Astyanax mexicanus: one gene and its partners. The protein of the gene in region 2 purifies or fractionates together with the protein of the main gene of each other region. This does not show direct contact. Links are inferred from orthologs where the notes say so. Each region holds a gene or a part of one and is shown on either strand. Other genes may lie near its edges.

The links. The genes of interacting proteins can lie anywhere in the genome.
Region 1: the proteins of rpp14 (region 2) and rpp40 purify together in Homo sapiens (co-immunoprecipitation; 3 studies listed by BioGRID and IntAct, with this or other methods). This does not show direct contact. The link is inferred for Astyanax mexicanus from reciprocal best matches to the Homo sapiens genes RPP14 and RPP40.
Region 3: the proteins of rpp14 (region 2) and pop5 purify together in Homo sapiens (co-immunoprecipitation; 3 studies listed by BioGRID and IntAct, with this or other methods). This does not show direct contact. The link is inferred for Astyanax mexicanus from reciprocal best matches to the Homo sapiens genes RPP14 and POP5.

Annotation. Positions count from the first base shown.
Region 1 is NC_064411.1:30,817,510-30,825,723, forward strand, and holds the start of rpp40 (ribonuclease P protein subunit p40), read left to right. Parts: upstream 1-4,806; 5' UTR 4,807-4,928; coding exon 4,929-5,045; intron 5,046-6,022; coding exon 6,023-6,164; intron 6,165-6,272; coding exon 6,273-6,341; intron 6,342-8,214. Other genes in the region: fitm1l (fat storage-inducing transmembrane protein 1), read right to left, coding at 1,133-1,311. UniProt on the Homo sapiens protein: Component of ribonuclease P, a ribonucleoprotein complex that generates mature tRNA molecules by cleaving their 5'-ends. Also a component of the MRP ribonuclease complex, which cleaves pre-rRNA sequences.
Region 2 is NC_064431.1:12,208,197-12,216,483, forward strand, and holds the start of rpp14 (ribonuclease P protein subunit p14), read left to right. Parts: upstream 1-4,813; 5' UTR 4,814-4,917; exon of another isoform or gene 4,918-5,012; intron 5,013-6,689; 5' UTR 6,690-6,701; coding exon 6,702-6,778; intron 6,779-6,876; coding exon 6,877-6,961; intron 6,962-7,070; coding exon 7,071-7,147; intron 7,148-7,968; coding exon 7,969-8,047; intron 8,048-8,287. Other genes in the region: rbck1 (ranBP-type and C3HC4-type zinc finger-containing protein 1), read right to left, coding at 2,612-2,648. UniProt on the Homo sapiens protein: Component of ribonuclease P, a ribonucleoprotein complex that generates mature tRNA molecules by cleaving their 5'-ends.
Region 3 is NC_064419.1:30,521,673-30,529,734, forward strand, and holds pop5 (ribonuclease P/MRP protein subunit POP5), read right to left. Parts: upstream 3,409-8,062; 5' UTR 3,321-3,408; coding exon 3,301-3,320; intron 3,209-3,300; coding exon 3,066-3,208; intron 2,308-3,065; coding exon 2,158-2,307; intron 1,652-2,157; coding exon 1,568-1,651; intron 422-1,567; coding exon 300-421; 3' UTR 193-299; downstream 1-192. Other genes in the region: olfml2a (olfactomedin-like protein 2A), read left to right, coding at 5,469-5,543. UniProt on the Homo sapiens protein: Component of ribonuclease P, a protein complex that generates mature tRNA molecules by cleaving their 5'-ends. Also a component of the MRP ribonuclease complex, which cleaves pre-rRNA sequences.

The sequences.
Region 1 (8,214 bases), on a different chromosome or scaffold from region 2:
CCGCCCCACCCAATCACCCCGGTTTAACAACTGAAGAACAGTTTTAGCTATGAGCAATTCAGTGTCTACTATGAATTATTCAGTATCCAGTATGGCTTGTTTAGTATCAGGTATGAGCTGTTTAGCATGAATTATTTAGTTGCAGGCATGAGTTTTTTTAGCTCATCTAAAATTTATCATCTAAAATTTATCTAGTTAGAGTGAGAGTTGGAGAGTGTGGAGTGTGTGCAAGTTAGATTTGAGGTAAAGGTGAGCTAAGGTAAAAGTTGCTCAGTATCCAGCAAGAGTTGTTCAGTATCCGGTATGAAACTGGGTTAGCCAGTTACAGTGAGAGTTGGAGTGTGCACTGTTAGAGATGAGGTGAAGGTGAGCTCAGGTATGAAGTGTTTAGTATCCGGTATGAAACTGATGTGTAAGGCAGTAAAACTGTATGCCGTTAGAGTTGAAGTGAAGGTGAGCCCAGGTATGAGGTGTTTAGTATTCGGTACAAGTTATTTAGTATACGATATGAGTTGTTGAATATCCAGTATGAAACTGATGTGTAAGGCAATTAGAGTGAAGGTTGGAGAGTTAGTGTGCTGTTAGAGTTAAGGTGAAGGTGAGCTCAGGTATGAAGTGTTCAGTATCTGCTATGAGGTGTTCAGTATCCGGTATGAAACTTATGTGTTAGAGTTAGAGTAGGAGTTGGAGAGTTGTAGTGTGTGCTGTTAAGAGTTGAGTTGAAGGTGAGCTTAGGTACGAGGTGTTCAGTATCCGGTATGAGGTGTTTAGTATCCAGTATGAAACTGATGTGTAAGGTAGTTAGAGTGAAAGTTTGAGAGTTAGAGAGTGTGCTGTTAAAGTTGAGGTGAAGGTAAAGCTCAGGTAAAAGGTGTTAAGTATCCGGTATGAAACTGATGTGAATTAGAGTGAGAGTTGGAGAGTTAGAGTGTGTGCTGTTAGAGGTGAAGGTGAAGGTGAGCTCAGGTATAAGGTGTTCAGAATGCGGTACGAGGTGTTCAGTATCCGGTATTAATCTGATGTGTTAGGCAGTTAGAGTGAGAGTTGGAGAGTCGGAGCATGTGCTTTTAGAGTTGAGATGTAAAGGTAAAGGTAAAGCTCAGGTATGGGTTATAAAGTGTGTGTTACTTACCTATAAAGAAAATGACTCCTCTTGGCGAAAACACTGTACTGGGAAACCCAAAAGTTCAGCAGGGGTCCAAAGACCACCATGGCCGACAGCAGCAGGTGAAAATGCCGCCGGAATAAGGCATTTCCCAGCAGTCCTGCCGCAAGGTCAGTCACAACCACGAGGAAAGTGTTCAGGAACATTTGTGCAAATGTGAACCAACTCCAGCTGATCGGCTCAACTCAACGGATTCCCTCCAGAGTCCCAACTCAATCTGTCCTAATCAGTGTTCTTCCACATCATTCCTCTCTGGGGCCGGTTCTCTATTAACCTTTAGTAGATCTCCATATTCAGCTCAGCTCTTCCAGAGGGTCTGGATTCTTTAGTTCCAACAGCAAGTGTGCTCCTGTAGTGTGCTACTGTATTTATACTGTAGTTTTCCCCTTCATCCAATAAATATTCTGCCATTAACAAGTCATGATTCCCTCGTTTTTGTGGTCTGACTGTAAGCATGTACAGTATCTCCTGGTATTTGCTGAACTGCCCAGTTGCTCCAACTTACAGCCTTGAGACCAACACCCCTCCCACATTTCAACATGACAGAAAAAGATCCATCCCCATGGTGTAGTCCCACCCCCCCCCATGCCCTCACATTTACACTCACACATGTAATCTAATGCAATGATCCTCTGTATGTTATTTTAATTGAGTAGTACTAACACTTAAATAAATATGATTTAAGAATACAGCCTAGTGTTAAATCTTGATGTTTCTAAAGTGTGGACTTTTCTAAAAAATAATAGAGGTGCTTGTAAGTTTTCTGAATCAATATTTCTGCATACTTTTCCTAAAAGTAGACAATGATATATGTAAAAAATGAAATGAAATGAAAAATATAAGACTTTTTTTTAATGAATGATCTATTTGTTATCATTCTTCATCTGTTAATAAAGAACGATCTAATGTTACATATCTGTGGGCATTTTCAGTCACTGATAAAGGCCTTTTGGAACAATGTTTTGTGAAGGGATAAGACCAAAATTTAGTGTTATGTTTGAAGAAAGTAACATCTTTATCCTATCTGTGAAACATGGTGGTGATAGATTCATGGATTGGTCCTTTTTTGCTATATCTGGGCCTGCTGGATGGCTTGCAATCACGATAGAACAATGGTTTCTGAATTATATCAGCACATTCTGAGGGATAATATCTAGACATTTGTCTTTGAGCTAAATCTTGAGAGAACGTGGGTCATGCAGCAAGACAATGACCCTAATCATGCAAGTTGTTTTACCAAAGAATGGTTAATTAAACTATATTGACCTTAATCCAATATAAATTTCCTGGAAGGAGCTGAAGTAGCTGGTCATGTGAGAAAACACACCAATGGGCTACAATTCCTACAACACTTACAAAAAAAAACTTTAGTTGTTTTCAGTTTTTAGATACTGAAAACAATGGTTTATATACTCTCGCCATTCCAAGATGATTTAGGTCAAATTCATGCAGAAATACGGGAAATTTTCCAAACTTTTAAGCACATCATGCTATTGTTGTGTTGTTGGCAGATGCATTATCAATTGGTATTTCATTGGTGAAGAGCAGAATGTGTTTAAAAATATACAGCACCAGCAAACTATGGATGTACCTGTAAATGTGTTCTCTGTTAAAGGGCTAAAGCAGACCTTAAATCCACCATGGACCTCTTGGTCCAAGCATTTGGAACTGCAACATGACCCAAAAAAGCTGTTATTTCAGACGAAATGGAGCCTTACTAAGTGCTAAGCACTAAACTCTGTAAGGTGTCCAAGCTTTTGCATAAGACTGACATTTGGGAAGGGTTAAGCGTGGTGACCAGCACGAAGCGCTGTGTCTCTATCTCTGCTCTTTCTATTTTTAGCTTCAGCTGTTAGGGTCAGCACCTGGGAGTATTTATCGCCGCCTGTCCCGCTATCCGTCTGTGTCTCACAGCTCTCTCACAAATAAAGCCCACCCTTTCAGCCTACAGTAGAGGTCTGCACTCCCGCGGGAGTCCCGCGGGACCCGCGGGACCCGTCAGAATATGTTGCGGCGCGGGACAAAACTGAATTGTTATTGGCGGGAGCGGTAATTTAATCAATACAGGCCATGCGGGAGCGGGACCACATTAACATGTGGTCCCGCTCCCGCAAATTGATAAATAGTTAAGAAAATTATAATAATCACGCTATGATTCCCATGCAAGCAACAAAAAAACACAAGAAAAATCTCTCGGAGGATGGACACACACACACACATTTTCAGCATCTCCAGCAGGCGTGTGCAGAGGAGGGGGGGGGGGGGGGAGGGGGGTGTGTAATTTAAAGGACGACATTTACTATACTGGTGCAAAATAATAATAATAATAATAATAATAATAACAATAATAATAATAACAATAACAAAAACATTGTTATTATTATTATTGTTATTATTATTATTATTATTAATAATAATAATACAAATATTAATTAAACTAATTGAATTTAATTTTTTATATTTTTACATTTATTATTTTATATAATATAGATCCACTTCTAATCCACTTCTAGGATTCTTGATGCACCTGATGGCATGTGTTTGGACTGCGAACTGAATTGCTGTTTTAATAAATACATATGTAAATTTGAAGCACTAAATGTAATTAATTCAATTCATATTAGGACTGCGGGACGGGAGCGGCGGGAATGTGTATGTGGCGGGCGGGAGCGGGATTAAAAGAAGTGATTTTTTTGCGGGAGCGGGCGGGAGCGGGACAAAAAGACGCGGGAGCGGGCGGGAGCGGGTTTAAAAAAACAGTCCCGCGCAGACCTCTAGCCTACAGTCTGTTTAGCCCCGCCCATTCAGCCTACAGCCACTTCAGCCCCACCCAATAGTTTTACCTATTCAGCCTACAGCAGTGTAGCCCATCCAAATATATAATTTTTCTAAACGTTAAAAATAGACCTAATAAATGCAATAAAAAACACATTGCAATCAGCAATCCAATTATGAAGAAATAGAAATATAATATACATTACTATGCACTATACATTAATTAAATATAATTAACTAATAATATATTTAATTAGAAAGTAATATCATTTAATCATTTATTTAAGATTAATGGCAGATATTTGTTTACAACCGTGTCACTTCAGTTAAACACAGATATACAGCTGAACTGATGAATATATCAGCAGTATTGGGATGGTTATAACACATATTGTGTTTTTTCTTCCTTTTTTTGGGTCGATCTTTTTTAAGACTTGAAGAGGAAGTTGGGTAAGGAAATTCCCCTCAAAGACCAATATATATTGTATATTTTTGATGAGCCTTCGTTTGAGCGCAAGGAAAAATGTATAGTAAATTTAATTATAATTTTAGGTAAATTTGATATTCACAAAAATAAATTTGCTTTAAAAATACCATAATTCCAGATTTTTGTCTATTCAGACCTAAAATTTATTTACACTTACTGACTCATTTTATTAAATTAAAAAGTAGGAAATCACAATTTTCTTTTCTCTGTTTTTTTTTGTTTGTTTAGGTTTGTTTGTTTGTGTTTTTGTTTTGAGGTGCTTGCGATGTTGCTTGTATATGATGTGTTTTTCACTTATTATTGAGATGGTTATAAGTATACAGAGTTAGTTGTATACAAGGAGACGCACGTGCTCTCCGGGTCAGTAGGGGGCGGCAGGGGCGCGAGCGGGTCAAAAACACGGTTCAGCCGGCATGGTGAGCAGTGCTGTACTGTCAGTGTGTCTCCCCCCTGCTTTATTATAAATTAGTTTTTAATAATAACACAATTAAATAGAGTAAGATGAGCCCGGAGCTGGAGCAGTGCCCGCGGAGTCTGTTAGTGTGTGAAAAAGGAAACTTCAAAAATGAGAAATCCCGCCATGAATCCCAGGCGCTGAAACACAGCTTTAACTGCAGGGTAAGATACTGTTCCACCTTAAAAACAGCTGCAGCTACAGCGCTTCTCAGCACAGTTTAAGGTGGAGCGGAGAGCCTCGGTTATAAACAGTACATTATTACTACTAAATCAGAAAGAAAGAGAGACTGCAGTGGAAGTGAGGCTGGTGTGTGTGGAGTTATTACAGTCTGTAGTCTGTATATCAGAGTAAAATTTACCAGACAATAAATTAATTAAAATTAATAAACTTGAAATATTGAGTGGCATACATTCTAAATTTACATTTTAACAATGTTTTTATGGGCTTAGAACTTGTATTGTAAAAGTTTAAAAATACCTTTGAAAATATCTCGTATATTTGATATCCGTAAAATATCTCCAAATGTATTTTGGATATAGGTTATAGATTTGGGCTAACTCGTATTCTATTTTTCATCTTCTATCATCTCGTCTTATTTTTTTGTCTATTTACTCCAGTGTTATTTTTTAATGCATCCAAACTTATATTTACTAAGAAAGTTATCTTTAACATTATAGTTTATATTAATGTCCCCAGCTTAGATCCAGTCATCTAAAGTTGGTCCTTCTTGCTGTAACCAGTTTGTTGTCAGTTGTTTTTTTAACTGGATGCTAAAAGAACAGCCAAATACATATTAGTTCAAATTTGTTTCATGTCAGGGTGGACATAGCCTAAATATAGCATCTTAAAATTAAAAAGGGATCTCCCTTCTAAATATGCTTTACAATAACTCAAGTTTATCAAAAGTCAGATAAACTTCATATTAAAATATAAAATGCAGATTTAAATAGCTTTTAAGCTCTATAGGAATTGTGTTGATTCAGCTTGTCAGTTCACTGTTTAAATACATGAGTTCCCTGAATTATTTTAGGCCATTCTCTTGTAGCTGTTAAATGTGAATGTAAACTGTAAAAATAAGGGGTGTTTATATATGTAATGTATATAATGATAAATATAATATATAGTTTTTTTCATGCAGATTTCCTTATTGATACCTGAGTGTGGAAGACTGCCTGTGATGCTGGAGAAAGTACTTAGTAATTTCAGCTCATATTTCCATGTCCAAGACTTTCCAGTTTCTACATTCCTGGAAGAGAAATGGCTGGATGCAGTGAAGAAAGGTAGGAGTGAGGAGGAATTCGAGAGAGTGGAGGAGTTGAGAATAAGCGGCTCAATTCAGTGCTTGTGGTGTGATGGAGTCCTTTATTCACTGTTTGTTTATCCTTCAGGAGGTTTCTATGCACTGTCTTCCAAAACCAGAATTGATGAGGACAATGTTGTTGCTGTTTTGCCCAGCGGTAAGTACCATAAGTGCATACATGCAGTAATGTGCAAAAAGTGTGTGTGTGTCCTCAGTTTTCATCATTTTTGCAATTTTTTAACATCTACTTTGTTTGGTCCAGACCTTCAGACTTTTCAGGTGTTTGGTCTGAGCTAAAATAGTAGTAATAGTGAAAACTGCCACAAACCACAGCCTGTTCCAGAGGATTTAAAAAGGTGTCTTGGTCTGGATACACTGAACCCTGGTTTGGTTCAATTACAGTGTAAAACATTGGTGTAGATAGTTTGACTCTTGGACCAATTACAAGAAGTTAAGGCACACTATTGTCAATTTAACAACAGAAAAAGAAAAAAAAACAGAACCAGTGCTGTGCCATAATCTGAGAAACCTTCACTTGTAACGCCTGTCACATAGCAGTATAGGTGGAGAGCTTTACAGACCCTCCTGTATCAAAGCAACCCTAAACTGTGAAATCTCACTTCACCATACTTGTCAGAATCTCAAGAGCTATGAATGAGTTCAGGCTGCAGCTGAGTTTATCAATGCGCTTCAACTCTGTAAAAAGAACACATTTCTGCAACACAAGCCTTCTAATATTATTAGAAGACACACAATAATCCAAATACTTATGAGGTCTGTTATCTCGTTTTTAACCACCTACCATATTCTTCACACAGTAAGGCACATTGTATTATAAGGCACACTATTTTTGGAACTTTCAGTCTACAATCTGATACACTCACCACTAATTGGCAAAAGAGTAAGCGGTTAACGGCTAATGCTAATGCTGCTCCAGTCTCGGTGGTGGAGAACTAAACTGAAACTCCTGTACTTCAGCAGAGTGGTGTTACTGCTCCTTACAACCTGACTGATAAAATTCATACATAAGGCGCACTGCCATAAAAGTCACATGAATTCAGATCTGGCTGTTCAAACACAGCCTTAAATCAGATATATTACTATACTATCACATGATACAATCAAATTACAGAACACAGTGGAGCCGCAAAAATATGAATCCTCCTGTTATTCAGCAGAAAACCTGATGGTTTCCTTCTTCAACATGTGTTTTGATGTTATTTTGTAGGAGGAACTGGGCTGGAAAATCAGAATTTTTGAGTGGTATTGCATTTCTGTGTGGACAAAGATATTTTTAAAAATCCAGACAAAAAAACACTAGTGGAGGGTGCCCCCTGCTGGCCGAACACAGGTGTTCCAGGCGTTGTGCTGAATTCTGCCTCCTACCAATGGATGTGTGTGTCATGCAGCAGAATGATACCTTTATTTCTGTTTATAATCAAGGTTTAGTCTACAGTTCTAGCACGTACAGGAATCACCAGATTAACCTGCTGCCCATACAGGACCTAGGCAAGACTGGTTCTTCTTCTTCTTCTATTGTTTAATGGGTGACAATATCTATAGTCTCTTAGTCTCTTTCTGATGGTAGATACAGTATCTTCCAAACCATCTAAAAAAAGTGTTCACACTGGAACAAACTGAAAAGTCAGAAGGTCTGCACCGAAAAAGCTAGGTGAAAGCTGCTTAAACGAGCAAATTTAAATGTCATGTTTTTTTTTTTTATAGAACCCTTAAAGGTCTCATTTTATCGTTTTTTTTTTTTCCTCAGTAATTTTAAGATGTGCTGTGGTCTCTTTAAAAAAAGCTGTGGTCTCTAGTATGAATGAATGCCATGTGAGCTGTTTTTTGTGAATAAAAAGTGCTCCAGTGATTCTGTATAATGCTACTTTAGTCCAGTGGAGGAGTGGAGGGAGGAGTTGGCTGAGCCGCAGTAAAATCCTGGGGGGGATTTTTAATTTAACCACTGTAAACAGAACTGTTTTAAACACACACCTACCTATCTCGAATGTACTTGGCTGGTGTTGTTTTAT
Region 2 (8,287 bases):
GTGTTCCTTGTTCAGAATTTGTGTGACAGTTACATAAAAAAATATATATTAATAGCAAGAGCTCTGGCCTGCTGAGCCACATGTGTCTTTAAACAGATGGCATATACATATATGATCAGAAAAAATCATTTGCATTTCCCGTCGTGTCCAGAGTTTTAAAAATGATACGCAGCGGCGCTCCTGGCCTGCGGACGCAGCGTAGAAGCCGTGAAGCAGTGGCGTTTCTGGCCTGCGAACGTGGCGGAGAAGCCGCCAAGCAGCGGCGCTCCTGGCCTGCAGGCGCAGCAGAGAAGCCGTGGTGTGCTTGGCACACAAAATTGGGGCCGGGGGTCCATGGAAAGTTTGTGGTGGATTAGAGGGGGCTGTGAGTTTTTTTGCTTTAATCCGTTTTTAATCTGTGTTTTTAAAAACGAATATTCGCTACCAATCAGTGCTGAATATTCTGAGCTATTCAGGCCAGTCCTAGTAAATTAATGATAACAGTGATATCTCAAACTACAGTTCAGTGATAATAAATATGTCGCAAAACTATTCTCCACACTTCACAGCGACTATGCTACTGAGAAAAAAAACTTCTAACTAAGTAAATAGCAGGTGTCAGTTTCACACAATTTAAATACTAATGTTCTTCACCACATGTTTACCCTGTTCATTTGATTGAGCAGTAACTGTAGTATGTCAAATTTGGGGTTGAGTTGAGAGCATTTATACATACATATACTCAAAATTATTGATTTGCTTTTTGTCACACTTCAGACTTGTGTTTGGTAATGGCAAAAGGGAAAAGAAATTCAAGCAAAAGTTTTATAATTCAAAAGGTATCACCTATCTGTAGACTTTGCTTGCTATCCAACTTGATTCTATCAATAATGGAACTGTGACACAAAAGGTCACTGGACAAATAACTTTCAATCATTTTTTTACTTAAAATGTAAAAACTGAACATAAAGCTTTTTGTTTGATGCTGTTTTGCTCGAGTGGAGATTTTGCCTCGAGTGTAGAAAGAGGTGGTTTTGGGGGCGGAGTCAGGATCACCTCCCTCAGCGAATGCTATTGGCTGATATCTCCAGGCTTTGTTACTGTCTGCCTACTACCGGCAGCCTTCAGAAACAAACACAGCAGGAGAGTTAAGAGAGCTATGCTGAAACCCAAACTTTGTATTTATCTAAATAATAATACTAATAATCCGAGTTACACATACAATATATATTATTAGGCTAAGCCGATCCTGGCACTGTTAACACAGCATCAGCGTCCTCCAATCTATGGGGCTGTTAGCCCGGATTCAGGGCCTGAAATGAGCCGATCTCCAGGGCTTGTATCGCGGCTTCAGTGCCTGAACCAAGTCGATCTCCGGGGCTTGTGGAAAAGAGGCTTCAGTACCTGGAACGAGCTGATCTCCGGGGCTTGTATTGTGGCTTCAGTGCCTGAAACGAGCTTGTGTAGCTAGCGGACTCTACAGCGCCCCCTAATTTGATTGGTAAAGAAATCAGCTGTGGTTGTGTAAAAAATGTTCTAATCTTCCCAATTTTTGGTAGAAATGTAGACACTAAGACCCTGCACAAATTTGTTTGTATTAGATCCGCCCAACAGGAAATTTGTTTAAACATTTTTCAAGAACTCATTTAAACTACTCCTAAAGTCTTCATCAGATAATGATGAAAATGCTTGAATTGCCACAGTCAATAAGACCTCAACATTACTTTCACCGGTTTCTCGGTTTGGCCCGGTACGATTTGCGCTGTTGTGTGAGGGCCCTTTATCCCTTCGTGACAGGGGGGCCCCTCAATACTATTATTATTTAGATAAATCCAAAGCTTAGCTTTTAGCATAGCTAGCTAACTCTCCTGCTGTCTATGTTTTTAAAAAAGTGGCAAAACTATGTTGCATCTGGGGGCAAAAAGAGCCGGCTCTTCGTGAGCAAACTCCTCTTGGATTACGAGAAAGAACCGGAATTTGCGTGAGCAAAGCCTTTTTTATTTTACGCTCTATATTTTTTTAAGCGAACTTATTTAGTCAGATAGTTATTTTTTTATAAAGTAAATGCAGTTACAATTTCTAGCATTGTAAGCACTTGCTCAAAAGTTCCAGCACTTTCCAGGCCTGGAAAACAGAACGTTAAAATTCAAGCACCCATACAAACCCTGAATATTTTTATAATGGAAGCCCAATGTCTGTTCTGAATAATGAAAAGTTCGTTTCACTGTAAAATAGTGTAATAGTATTATTATGCTAGTATATAATTACTGTGGCACATTGTCTTAAAGCACCTTTAGGAGCCCAAAGCAGGAAAAAGCATTTTCTATAGTGGCGCTTTAAAAGGACAATATTATCGTTTATCGCAATCATTTCTGAGACAATACATTGCCCTAAAAATGTTGTTATCGTGACAGGCCTAGATCAACGATATGTTATCTAAAAAATATTACAAGTAATTTTGGAGCATTTCTATTGGTCTCCTCATCATATGACATTGGCATTCAATACATTGGTTTCTGCTTTCTTTAATTCAAGTCTGTATTTTCAGTACATCTTAACCTAACTGACGTACAGTATTACCAAACTAAGGACAAGCTTATATTTCCTGATACTGTGAATTCCTCCCCTGTACCTTTTTTCATGTTTCTCTGGTCATAGGGCATCGCCATATCTTGACCTGGATGCAAAAAAAAAAGTTTAAGTTAAAAAAAGATGTTTTATTTATTAGTTATATGTTTTAAAGTAATATTCCAACTTCTTATTTAACTTCAAATGATATATCAGGCTTTTTTAACAATTTCTTTTTTCACATTATTCTGGACTTTCAAAATATCATGAACATATAAATATTTCATGTGTGAAAAGGTAAAAAAAAAAAAAATGGGGCACACAGTCAATGGGCTATGCCTGTGAGGAAAGAACTCCAGTATTTTACTTAGTTCCACTTTGGCTGTACATATACTTCCTTTTTTAATATGTTTGATTTTATTGTGTTGTATTGTTTTAGCACCTGGACTGCTTTAGAGATAAAAAAAAATCTAAAGTAATATTTTATTTTTATTGTAATGTATTGTAATTTGCAGTGGTAGACAGTAGCAGAGTAAAATATATATACTTTACTGTTTTTCATATCTGCAATTTTTACTTTTTACTTTAACTCACAACATTTCAAACTCAAATATTTAGATTTTTACTCCAATACATTATGGAGAAAAAAAAAAGTTTTACTTGCATCCAATGTTTTGTGATATTTTATGGTCACTTTAAAAGTACATCACAATAAAATAAGTCTAATTAATGAGTCTTTCTAAAAAGATTAATAATGTCAACCAAGGGTATTACTGGAGTCTTTTAATATAAAATGACCTGATTCTGATCCAAAAGCGATAAAAGCACATTAAAGCCATTAAATCCGGGTACTTTTACTAATAGTGCTTTTGTGATATTTTATGATAATTTTAACAGCAATCACTGCAATTAGACTAATAAATAAAATCCTATGAAAAGATTAAAAATTGTGAAACAAGTGTATGGCTGGAGTCTTTCTATCTAAAATGAGTTGATTAATCAGATTGAGGGTTCAGTTCTAAAAAAAGAATTTATAAGATATTGGAGCCATAATAAATCATGGTGTTTAGTGCTTTTGTAAGCACATTTTAAGGAAAATAACATGTGTGTACTTTTACTTTAATGTAGGCATAGAGAGGTCTTTTCCTTTTACTAGAGTAACGTCTGCAGTACTTTAGCAGTTGTTTGAACATATAGCTAGCTTTCTACTTCTGTTTGAGTCATTTCTGGGCCAAAACAACTCTTTGATTTTGATGTGGTTTAGCTGGTTTAATCTGCTGTGTCTTCCTCGGACTGACCCTGAAAGCTCAGCACTGCTCATCTAGTTAATACCCTGTAAAAAAAAACAGCATTTACAGCAGAATATCAGCAAATAAACCACCAGAACAAAGCACGTACCTTCGGAGGAACCCCTCTGACTTTCAGTTCGACCATTAAAGTGTGTGAAACCGGTGGAAGCGGGTGTTTTTGGCGTAGTTTACAGCAGCGCTGAACGAAAAGTGAAAGAAAGAAGAGTTGAGGAGGAAGTGAAGTCGAGATGTGGAGGCTCCCGCTGATCCCAGCCTTCAGGCCTCAGAGTCCAGGCTAAGATAACTTAGCACAGCTAGCCTAGCCCGGGTCAGCTAGTTAACTAATCAGCGTCGTACATAAAAACAGTGGGAAAAAATACTAATGCACCAGATGATTTATAGAATAAGTCAACAAAAACAAAATTGTACAGTTCACCTGGGTTCCAGCACCCACGGGTATTTAGGGGAATGAGGAAGCAGATGAGTTTGCAAAAGAAGCACTGAAATCAGAGCAAGTAGAAGTTAAAGGTTTTACTGAGCAAATCAGAATTAAAAAAAGTAATAAAAGACGGTGTTCATAAAATCTGGCAAAACAAATGGGATACGGAGGAGAACAGCAGGAATTTATATAGTATACAACAAGAGGTAAAAGGAAAATCCATTCACTCACGACAGGAGGAAACCTGATCAACCAGCCTAAGAATAGGGCTTACAGCACTAAATAGTGGTTTACACATTAAAGGAAAACATGACACCGGAATATGTTCATACTGTAATGAAACTGAAACCGTAATTTACGTACTGCTTACATGTAGGCAGTACTCTAACGGAGAGAACGTCTTGAGACGGTAACAAAGAACTCAATTGAAAAAACTTATTAGGTCAAGGTGGTACAGAGCATACTGTATATATTTTTGTAATCCCAATGTAATCAAACATCAGACCAGTAGATGGCGGTAATGCACTAAGATTGCAAGCTGCCAAAAATCAACCACGAAGAAGAAATCCGCTCTTGAAAACATTAGAAGCTACAGGAGTCACATGGCGATAAGGACGTGCTGCGTGAGACTGTCTTTAGTCGGTAAATAGCTGTATTTAGTATTGTAATATTCGTACATTTAAAAGTGCACTACGGTTAGTTTTGAATGAGTCTCTTCAGTGGAGTTTCCAAAGGATGTAAGTTTTACTGGATAGCAACATTAGCCTAGCTAACTAACTTAGATATGTTCTTACTTAACCTACACCTGTTATATAGTTAGCTGTTAGTTATCTAGCTAGCCAGATATAACTCAATTACTCTAGCTATCTGTTTCAAGTCATAATAACCTATCGAATGTATATACTGATGATAGATAGGGGTTGGGTTTGTTGGTTTAATTTGGAGAACTGGCCCTGTCCGTTATTAGATGCACTTGATTGCGTCTACATATGGTTTATTATTAGAGGTGGCTAACCCGGATCCAGAAAGTAAAAATCCATCCCTGGGTTTCATACTTTTTAAACTTTTAAACTTTTACTTTCTGGACCCGGGTTTACCACCTTTACTTTTTATAATGCAGTGTTTGAGTCAGTGGACTTAAAGTCTCTCTAATTGATGCTCTGTTCAAATATTTGTAATATTGTATATGGTAAGCATTTAATAAAAGTGTACAAATCATAACAGAAAATACGTTAAGATTCTGAGTATATGCTGAGTAGGGCTGTGCAAAAATCAGAATTTCAGAATTCAATTTAATTCAGTGAATGATTAAATGAATGAATGAATGAATGAATGAATCTACCTACCCACCCATCCATTTCTCAGTGCCTCATTTTAAATATCCGTGCTCTCAGAATTCTACCAGTGAAGTGTGGAGCTACTTTGAGCTTCTTAAGAGTGTAAAATTAACTATTTCTTTACATGGGCAGCACTAAGCCCTTATAACTAGCATTGTAAGCCTGTAGAAAGCATACATTCTCTTAATGTTGAATACTTTCAAAATTAAGATATTGCTAAATTAGTCACATACAACAATGTTACAATTTATTAAAGTAATTTAAAGGGTAATGCTATTGCATCTTATGGTCAACAGTTCCTCAAATAGCCTTAATGTTTGGACAATGGTTAAAGACAATGGTTAAAAAAAGGAAAAAAACAATATTCTGGGAAATTAAGTGCTGTCCTATCATTTTCCACAGTTTGAAAGTTGGTACAGTTTTAATAATTTGTGTTATAGAGGGTTTTTATTGTTTTGTGCTCATACCATAATATCTGTGTGAAATTAATATACACCTTAATTTTGCATTATACATTAATTTGAATTTCGTGTAATTCTAATTCTACATCCTGCAGTTCGAATTTGAAGTAGCTGGTTCCTGTTTGCAATCTCAATTCCAATTGAATAATTTAATTTGAATTTGGGTGTCATTCTTCATTTTATTTTTTAATATTGTACAACCCTGGTGTTGAGTTAACATGTTGTGGGACAAAAAAAAAAAATAATCTTAAATGTCTTTATGCCATTTTTCATTTTTATTATTGATTAAGCAAATACACAATTTATACGTAGTATAGGTGTGCAATAAGACAATAAGTTTTGACTACTGCCATTGCTTAAATTCAGAACAACTGCAACTGTTAAATTACAAAGAGAGTAATTAGTCCTGTATTTAATTGACTTAGAGTACAGCAGATTTAAATAAATTCAGAATATTGTGTATTGTGAACAAATGTCTTTCCGTATTAGGAAATATATTTTTTTTGTTTTGTTTTTTTCAACCATTTTTTACCATATCGTCATATTTTACCATTCAGAATTCAGTTTTAACACAAAATTATTTTTCGCTCTCAATGTTTGTTTCCTGTTCTAACAGCATTCAGATATTATGGAGAAGAAACCTACACCTTATGAGCGTGTTGTGTGCAAAAACACCTCTCTGTATCATTATATGAAGATCAACTTGTAAGTAAACTCCTTTCTAAAAAAAAAAAGAAAAAAAAAATATATATATATATACTATGAATAATAGACAGCCCTATTTTTTTTGTATGCATAAACAGAGTTTTTGACAGTAGAAACAAAAGTCTGAGTGCAGAACAGTTCAAGCAGTTGATCATCACTGGACTGAAAGACCTGTATGGGGAGGTAGGGATAAAATACTGACCTATGTTATGAGACCTCCACATTATAATTAAGTTAGTGTCGGAGTTGTGTAGATTGTGGTTGTGTAGAAATATGTTGTAATGTGTTACAGGTTGGAGCTGCGTTCCCTTTTGACGTGCTGACGTTCAACCAGACTGAGCTGTCTGCCATTCTTCGTGTGTACCACAGGTATTTAATCCATGCAAAAGCTTAGTTTTGCTTTTAATAAACACTTATTTACCAATTTGTCATTCGTTCTTTATTACAGCGCACCACGTTGACTTTATCTCCCCTCAAACATAAAAGTATATTCTAGTAATTTAATTGACACCACTAAAATAAATATAATTGCATTACAAAAACTTGCATTTTAAGAAAACAAGTGTGATTAATCACAGTTAATTACAGAATAGTGTTGTGATTAATCATGTTAAATTTTTAATAAATTGACACCACTAGTCAAAACGCTTAAAATTATAAAGGTGTCTGAGTGCTGGGGAGCATAGTGCAGAACAGTGTTCACACAGAGATTCACTATTAGAGCTGTAAAGAGTTACCGACTCATACTGACACATGGATGGTTATGGGTTTAAGGCAATGTGTCATAAAGGCTAGTGTAAGTGTACCATCAATTTTTTTACCATATATAGTAGAAATAATGCATGTTCTCAAACCTGAACAGACTGTTATGACTTTGAGTCAGTTTCCAATAAACAGATTAATCCTAGGTTTTGACTGTAGTATCAGTGGTGATTAGGCATTGAAAAGCCTATTAAGTGTAGGATTAAGCTCTGAATCTGGGTCCCGATCCCAAAGTTAAATGGACCACATTTTTTGGTTGTTTTCTAGTGCAACCCTGGTCCTAGAGATGTATCTCTGTCTCTCTCTCTCTTAAAACCCCTAACACAGTTAAGGCAATGAATTTGTGAATTACAGTATAATTAATAAGTATAATTAAGTATGTTTCTAAATGTTGTGATTGTCTTTCTTTTTTATTCTCATTTTAATAGCAGTTTGGTGAAACTGTGGAGTGCAATTACCTTGATTGGATCGTATGAAAGTGTATCGTGTGCATTTAGAGTTACTCAGGTAAGTTTTCTATTATTGAACATAATACATTTGTTCTTACCTAGAAAAAATAAAGATGAATAAAATAATCATGTGTTATCAACAATTGTTCCTGATTATTTGTTGAGATTAATTAATAATACATTTCTTAAATAAAAATAATATTTTTTTTGAAACCATTAAAACCGTCAAACCATTAAATCATAAAAAATATATTTTTTCATAAGCATTGCAGTGCACTTGCTCATCAGCAGAGAGCGC
Region 3 (8,062 bases), on a different chromosome or scaffold from region 2:
ATTTTCTTTTGCCATATGAGCTACACAGAACACACTAGCACAAAATTTCCAAAACCTCAACTTTGAAATTATTAAGCAATCATAAAGTATTGTACCCGGCTGGTTTAAGCTCAAAGGACAAGACGACTTTAAAATCTACACTAAATCTGGACTGCTCATACAATCATACTATAACACACATCAGACCTGATGCTGAATTATATATAAAATTTATTTTGTAATGCAATAAACTCAAATAATCCTTCTCTTTTGAACAGAAAGTTGAATGGCAACTATGGTAGCTGGGTCTTTTCTTCAGTTCATTTTCCATCATCATCATCATTGTCGTCATCATAGTCATCATTGTCGTCGTCATCATCGTCTTGTCTGAGTTGGTTTAGAGAACAACTCAAAACTGCTTTTCTCACCTGCTGTTTTTCAGCTGCATCAAAGGACAGATAGATATAAAAAAACTTTTAATTTTTCTTTTTTATTAGTACATAGAGTATATATCTGTATTTGTGCTGTAACTCGGATGTTGGAGAAAATTAACGTTAAAAAAAATTACATATTAATTTAATTATAAAATTGGCCTATAAAACTGGAACAACCAGATCCACTGACAGAATAACTGAGCTTTTAAACCATATAAAAATATAGAAACATGTAGGTCACTATGAAACAGTTTGTATATTTTTTTCCTGTATTTAGTTTTTATTGTTTAATTGTTTTTCATTACACTTTATTTTAGTTTAGTTTTTTAACAGTATTTTGATAAAGAAAATAAATAGCAAATGGCAGCTTCATATAGACAAACTGCTGCAACTACATTTAGCAATAGCAAAATAATAATAATAATAATAATTAAAAAAAAGAAAGTTGGGGCACTCATTTCATAGCAATGAATAGAACATTGCAATTTGCAACTTAAATTGTCCGATTGCAGCAAATCTCTTTTTTACTTGTGTACTTTTTAACATAAAAAGTGGTGTCAATTTACCACAGAATGCCCACAACATTATTCTGTTCCTCGTTTAATAAACAAAGACATTACAAACAAGCAGAAGTGCCTAATAACTAAAACTCAGTGGTTTTAGTAGTTACAGGTCATACTGATAGTTATACTTTATTGTGCAACATTTCACTGAAATACTAATCAAGCAAATTGGAGTAGTTTTAAGGTCTATAAATACAGACTGTCGTCCATCTATTTTTGTGCATACTTTATTACCCTCCCTTTCACCCTAATCTTAAATGGTTAGGACCCTGCAGTATTATTTGGGTGGTAAGTCATTCTCAGTACTGGAGTGACACTGACATGGTGGTGGCGTATCTTGTGTCACTGCTAGACTGAGAATTGTCATCCAGCAGTGCCATGTGGGCAGTGGACAGTGTGTGAACACAGTCTTTAAAAACTCTAGCAACACTGCTGCGGCTGACCACAACACACACACAAACACGCTACCACCATGCAACTACAATCACTGCAGTGCTGAGAATGACCAAACACCCAAATAGTAGTCTTATAAATGATTTGTCAAAGCAATCTGAATAATCCTTAATATAATAATTGAAGAGATAACTTTACCTTCTGTTTTGCAATGTGGTAGCATTCGAAATAGCTGCTGTCTGCTGTATCTAATGAGAAATTTCTGGCATGTTCTGATGGTACCTGTGGAATTGGAGAGCAAATAAGAATGGTTTGATTAAAATCAATACAAAAATCTGATTGCAATCAAACCATTAACATATGATACAAAGGGTTCGTTGTCTGATGCCCAGGAATAACCCTATTTGTTTCCATGAGGAACCTTGGTTCTTCAATAGCATCTATTTTTAAGAGTGTACCAGCATTTTCAATCATGACATTTTGTTATGTTTTCTTTATTGCTTTTTGTGTTTAAGCTTTAGTAGTATATTAATTTACAATTATACTTTTAACAAAGTTTTTTTGTTAAAATTAGTCATTTAGATATAATTTAGATCAAATATATTTTAAGATGACATACTAAATCAACAGGTCTGCTATTACTGGTGGGTCTTTTGGCACTTACAATGACAAACAAAAGTAACTGAAGGTATCTATACTGTGAGTTTTGTCAAACTTGTGACGAATAAACAAACCATTTGTATAGTTTGGTGCAAAGTGAAACCAACTGGAAACAGGTGACTACTTACCTCCAACATGAATGCAATTAAAAAAGCACGGCACCCTCTGGCCTTGCTTCCAGATACTTGTAATAAAGGGAAGGGCAGACCAGAGAAGCTGATAGTGGGCCTTCCGGAAACGTAGCATGACCACCCCAGTGTAGGCATTTACGTACCTCACTGAAATGAGACAACAGCAGAATCCATACATGTTGTTAAATATGCTTTTAAATTCTGAACACAAAAAAGGCACCCCTAAATACAGGTCATTTATAACAGTAGCTCAGTATTGCTTAAAGGTGTGCTTTTACACAAAACAATTTCTTATGACACAAAGGTGCAAATGCACAAACACACACCCTACATCCAATGTCCTACCTTACATTGTGTAATTTTTTAAATTGTGGATCATTGTTTGTATGTTTACAACCAACATGTGCAATATGCATAATGAGTAATATTTTATAATCTATTTATTGTTATTACTATTATGAATTTTATTATTTTTATTTTATATATATTGCTTGTATATTCATGCTACTTCCTTTGCTTGGTCCTCTGTGCTGCTGTAACATTGTACATTTCCGTCGCGGGATTAATAAAGGATTTTATCTTAGACACATATGTAAAATTCTGTAACGCTCTCTTAAACTTTTTAACTAGACATGTTAGAGATAGTACACATATTACATATTACAATATTTAACTTATAGTGTCAATATTTTAATATGCGTTAAAATGCACCTAAAGTGCCAGATTTTTTAAAACTTTAAAAGCCATTTAAATACAAACTCGTGCCAAGTACAGGTATTTAATCAAATAATACACTCTTCGTAATGAGCTGAGTAGGTGTTCATAATTATAAAACTTATTAAACGCAATAAAATAGTGAAGAAAGATGAAGAGGAACTGGAGAAGTATGGTGATGCAGTACTGACCTGCAGAACCTATGTTAAACAACGCTAACCCATACTGGCCATGAGCTGTGGTCACTGCTGTTTTTACTGCCTGGAAAATATCCTTCTCCTCCAGCAGCCGCAGCATGCTCCTCTCGGACATGCACACCTCACATAACAGATATCTGCAAACACACACCAGGCAATTTACAGTCATTTTAAAGCCTAAAAACATCCTGAAATAACTAACATGTTTTCATAAAAACGTTTTTTTTACCTCGCCTTAAGTCGCACCATCTTCCTGCTCTCTGTGGAACCACGTGGACCAACGCTTTACCGCTTTCACGTGTGGGCTTTTGCACCAATCACAATTCGATGTTGCACAAAGTAGGCGGTGCTTACGCGGTCCACATTACACCGTTCAGACACGTTTATCGTTTAAGGTTCAACGCTCAGCTTGATTTTTACTCATTTCTAGGTCTCTAAAAGTATAATATTTAGCTAAAGTTCTTGGTTCATATTTTATATAAAATAAAAGTCCTTATTTGACGCTGTTGTTTATTTATATGGGGTGTCATTTTCAGGAGATTCCGAGAGATGGCGCCATAAGAGCAAAAATAAAATAAAATGGAACTTTTTGGACCAGACTAAATAATTATTGAAATGAATTTTAATGTAATTTGTTCGTTAGATGAAAAATGTCCTGTCCAAGAATATGCTACTAAACTGAAAATGTACTGTACTGTGTATAATTATAAATATATACATACATATAAAACGGTTTGGTATAAAACACAGGAACCAGATATATGAACCTCTAAAGGCTTCCTAACACTGGTTTACTATAGTTTTTAGGAAGTTTTTTTGCACAGGTTCATTTGTGGTACTGAACCTACAGTAAAAAAATAATAATATGTGATTAATATGTACTACTTATTTTATTAATTCGAAATTATTTAAATGTCTTGTTAATGTGTTATTAATTTCCCCATGTATTTGTAATTAGTGCACATTTTGACTGAAATGTACACCCATAATGAGCAAACATTAGCACAGAATCTAAAAATGCATATTGGCTGTGTCTTGTACAGATCCTGCAGAAACCTCAGATTCATTTTTATGTGGTCGGATCTTGATGTGTAAAAAACTGTTTTCTTTTTGCAAATATGATATTATCAGTTTACATTTATGAAGTGTCACAAAATCTAGATTTAATCAATCCAATTTTTAAAACGGTTAGTAATTCTTTGAACCTTCTCATGTTTTGCCAGAGTTTTTCATTAATTTACCCGTGTTTAAGCAAAGGATATATACACTGCCTGACCAAGATAAAGTTGCCACCTGGATTTATCTAAACAAATGATCTGGGGTTGTTGCAGTTGGTCAGGTCTAGGTTCAGCAACAGTATGTGCTGAAAGAATGAGGTCAGCTGACTACCTGAATATACTGTATAACCAGGTTATTCCATCAATGGATTTTTTCTTCCCTGATGGAATGGCCATATTTCAAGATGACAATTCCAGGATTCATCAGGCTGGAATTGTAAAAGGGTGGTTCAGGGAGCATGAGATCATCATTTTCACTCATGGATTGGCCACCACAGAGTCCCGACCTTAACCCCATTGAGAATCTTTGGGATGTGCTGGAGAAGGCTTTGCACAGTGACCAGACTCTACTATCAATGCTGCAAGAAAAAAAAAAATGCAACACTGGATTGAAATAAATCTTGTGACATTGCACAAGCTTATCGAAACAATGCTACAGTGAATGCTTGCTGTAATCAAAACTAAAGGTGGTCCAATGAAATATTAGAGTGTGTGACCTTTTTTGGTGGCGACATTTTTTTTTTTGGCCAGGCATTTTTTCATGGTAGATCCTTTCTGTATATTATTCTGAGATTTTTAGCAGTTTGCAGTTCGCTTTTCTCAGTGTTAGGAGCTACTCAGCCCATCATCTGTTTAGTGGATGCTTTCAGATCTGAAATGAAAGTGGAGCTGGAGCGTCTTTCACAAACTCGAATACTTGAACTGCCATGTTATCTGAGGGGGTTATTTGGTGGTCTTGTAGTTGTTAGTGGTACTTGTACTCAGTGGATTTTCTGACTGGAAAGTAAACACATGATGCATGCTCTCGGAATTAGCATCATACCTAATAGTGTATGGTGGGCGTGTCTTGTAGGCTAAGGTCTTAAGTGGTCCCTCAGAAGACAGTATTGAGGGGGAGGCAAGGTATCGTGCAGTGGGCGTGTCCTGTGGAAGAAACATCAAATGGGCGTGGGTTGTTGGTCCCGCAGGGTGCAGATCGCGCACTGTACACACGCGCACACTCACAAGTGCGCGCACATAGGCGCACTTCTGTCATGGCAGCGTGAGAGTGTGAGCGTGAGAGTCGCCGGACTGCAGACTGCAGCTCACACACGCACAAAATCACTCATCTGGGGGCAGAATGTGGATATACAGGAATATCATGAGGTGCGTGTGCGCGCTCGCGCTCATCGAGCATGCCATCGCTATTAGTAAGGTAAGAAGATGCAGCAGCACATTAACTGCTGTTTTCTCACTGTGTGTGTGTGTGTGTGTTTTGTGATATGCTTCTCTAAAATATGTTAAAATGCAATCCTCAGCATTGCATTTAAATACTGCAACTGTGCACGTGCATCATCAAGTTTATTTAATCCACTGAAATCTTGCTTTTGGGCTTTAATACCATACGTATAAGACCACACCTACTTACCTAATCAGTAAGTACTGATTAATTAGCAGCTTCTAATTTAGTACCTACTAATTATTGAGTAAATACCAATAATTCCATTAAGTATTAATTATGCAGCATTTACTTTTTTAATACTTTCAATAATTCAATAATTTAGTAATAATAAGTAATAATTATACAGTACTTTTATTCAGTACATACAAGTTGATAATTTATTAGTAATTATTCACTAACAATTAGGTAATTATTGAGTAGCAGTTATGCAATAATAATACCTTCTTTTTTGATACCTACTAAGTATCCAATAAGTAGTAATTCTTAGCAATGATGTAACATGTAATAATTATGCAGTACATTTTATTCAGTAGCTGCCAGTTATTCAGTTGTAAGTAATTACTTAGCAAAGAAAAAATAATTTATTTAATAAACACTCATTATATACTAATTGTTGAATAGTAGTTATATAAAATGATGTAAGTTCAGTACCTTCTTATTAAGTACCTATTCATTATTTGTAATGTAGTTGTTTTTCAGTAAGTAAGAATTGTTGAGAAAGTACTCATTAGTCAGTCTCTACTATTTATCAAGTAATAGATACAGAATAAGGAGTAAATATTTAGTACTTTCTTAATTGGCACCTACTACTTATTCAGTAAGTATTTATTTTTCAGTAGCTAAAATTAATTATTTACCAAGAACTAATTAGTCAGTTTTTGCTAATTATTGAGTAACTACTAATTAGTAAGTGAATAGTACCTATTCAGCAACTGCCAGGTATCCCATAAGTATTCATTAATTATTATCTACTAAATATTGAATATTTACTAATAATTAGCTACATGGAAATTGTACATATTTATTATTCAATACCTAGTATTTTTTTAGAATCTGTTATGAAACTTATATGCAGTTTGTTTAAAGCACGTGTCAACAAACAGGCCTTTAGGCTTGAAAGAGTTAATTTGTAAATATGAGAAAATGGCACTCCAACCAGTGTTGTGCTCAACCGGGGCATCAAGTGTAGATTGTGTGTTGTTCGCTCAGAGAGTGAGTTATGGCTGCAATGGTGTGAGTGTGTAAGTGTGTGTTTTATTTTTCTTTTATTTTCTTTTTTGGAAAGAACACTGTGGGAGTGTGTGTGAACTGTGAAGAATTTGAGATTTGGGATTTTGAAACAGTCTCACACGGGACTGGGAAATGTTAAACTGTCTGTCGTTGTTTATCATTACTGAATTCCGAAAGGGTCGATTAGGATTTTCATGCTGTTGATATATAGTGGAGGCACTAAATCAATGCTTTTTTCGTTCTCGTTGACAAAGTACACCTGTTTTAATGAGCCCCCGCTGAGGGGCATAACCCGTCAGACCGTAAGTTTAACAGTCAGTGATTAATTTTTAGACTCATTACTCAGTAACCTGCCTGAAACAAATTTTTAAGCTATAGTACGGACCCTTAGGCTTACATGCTGACATCTCCACACAAATTTAATTCCAGACCTGCTTGGAGTTTTGGAGATGTTCTTACTCTGCTGCCCAGCCGTCACAGTTTGGTTATTATCAATTTTTTTTTAGTCTGCTTTGGTTGGAGTGACTGTCTCTATTGTCAAGGGAAGTTTTCAAATTACATTTAGGAGCACTGCTGTAAGAATTTGATTGCATTCAGCCACAAGAGCGCCAGCATGTTGGATGATCACCACCACACCTCATCTCCCCATCAACTCCCCAACCTTTTCAAGAGGTATTGGATGGAGCTTTATCATTCCATAGAGCACAGTTCTCCTGGTCCACATGTCTGGCTTTATGCATAGTGCCAACAGGTTCATATTTATCTGTTCAAGGGAGAATTGTATTGTGTTTACAATATTTCTTGATAGGGACTAGACAAGCTGTTTGTGTGTGAATTTGCACATATGCACAACTTAGAGTAGCTAAATGCATCTACTAGAAGGGGTGTCCAATACTGAGAGATGGAGAGTATATAATGTAACACATTAAACTGATTAAATCTTTCAAAAATAAATTGTAAAATGTAACTAATAGATAATAGATACAGTAGCCTTGTGAGAAAAAAATGACACCCCTACATGTATTAGTCCTTAAAATGTGTAATATTACATTAGCTGCAAATGATTCCAACATGTTTAGAGAGGATTGTTTTATTTAAACCTCAGGCATTAGTTTGGTTTGCTCTTGATTGTTCTCAAAGTGAGTAGATCACCATTGCCAGATCCAAAGAGCTCTCTTCTGAGAAACTTCAGAAAGAATGTAGAAATCAGCATTTCACTGTGTAAGGGGTTAATTAAGCAGTTAATTAAGAGTGGCCATAGA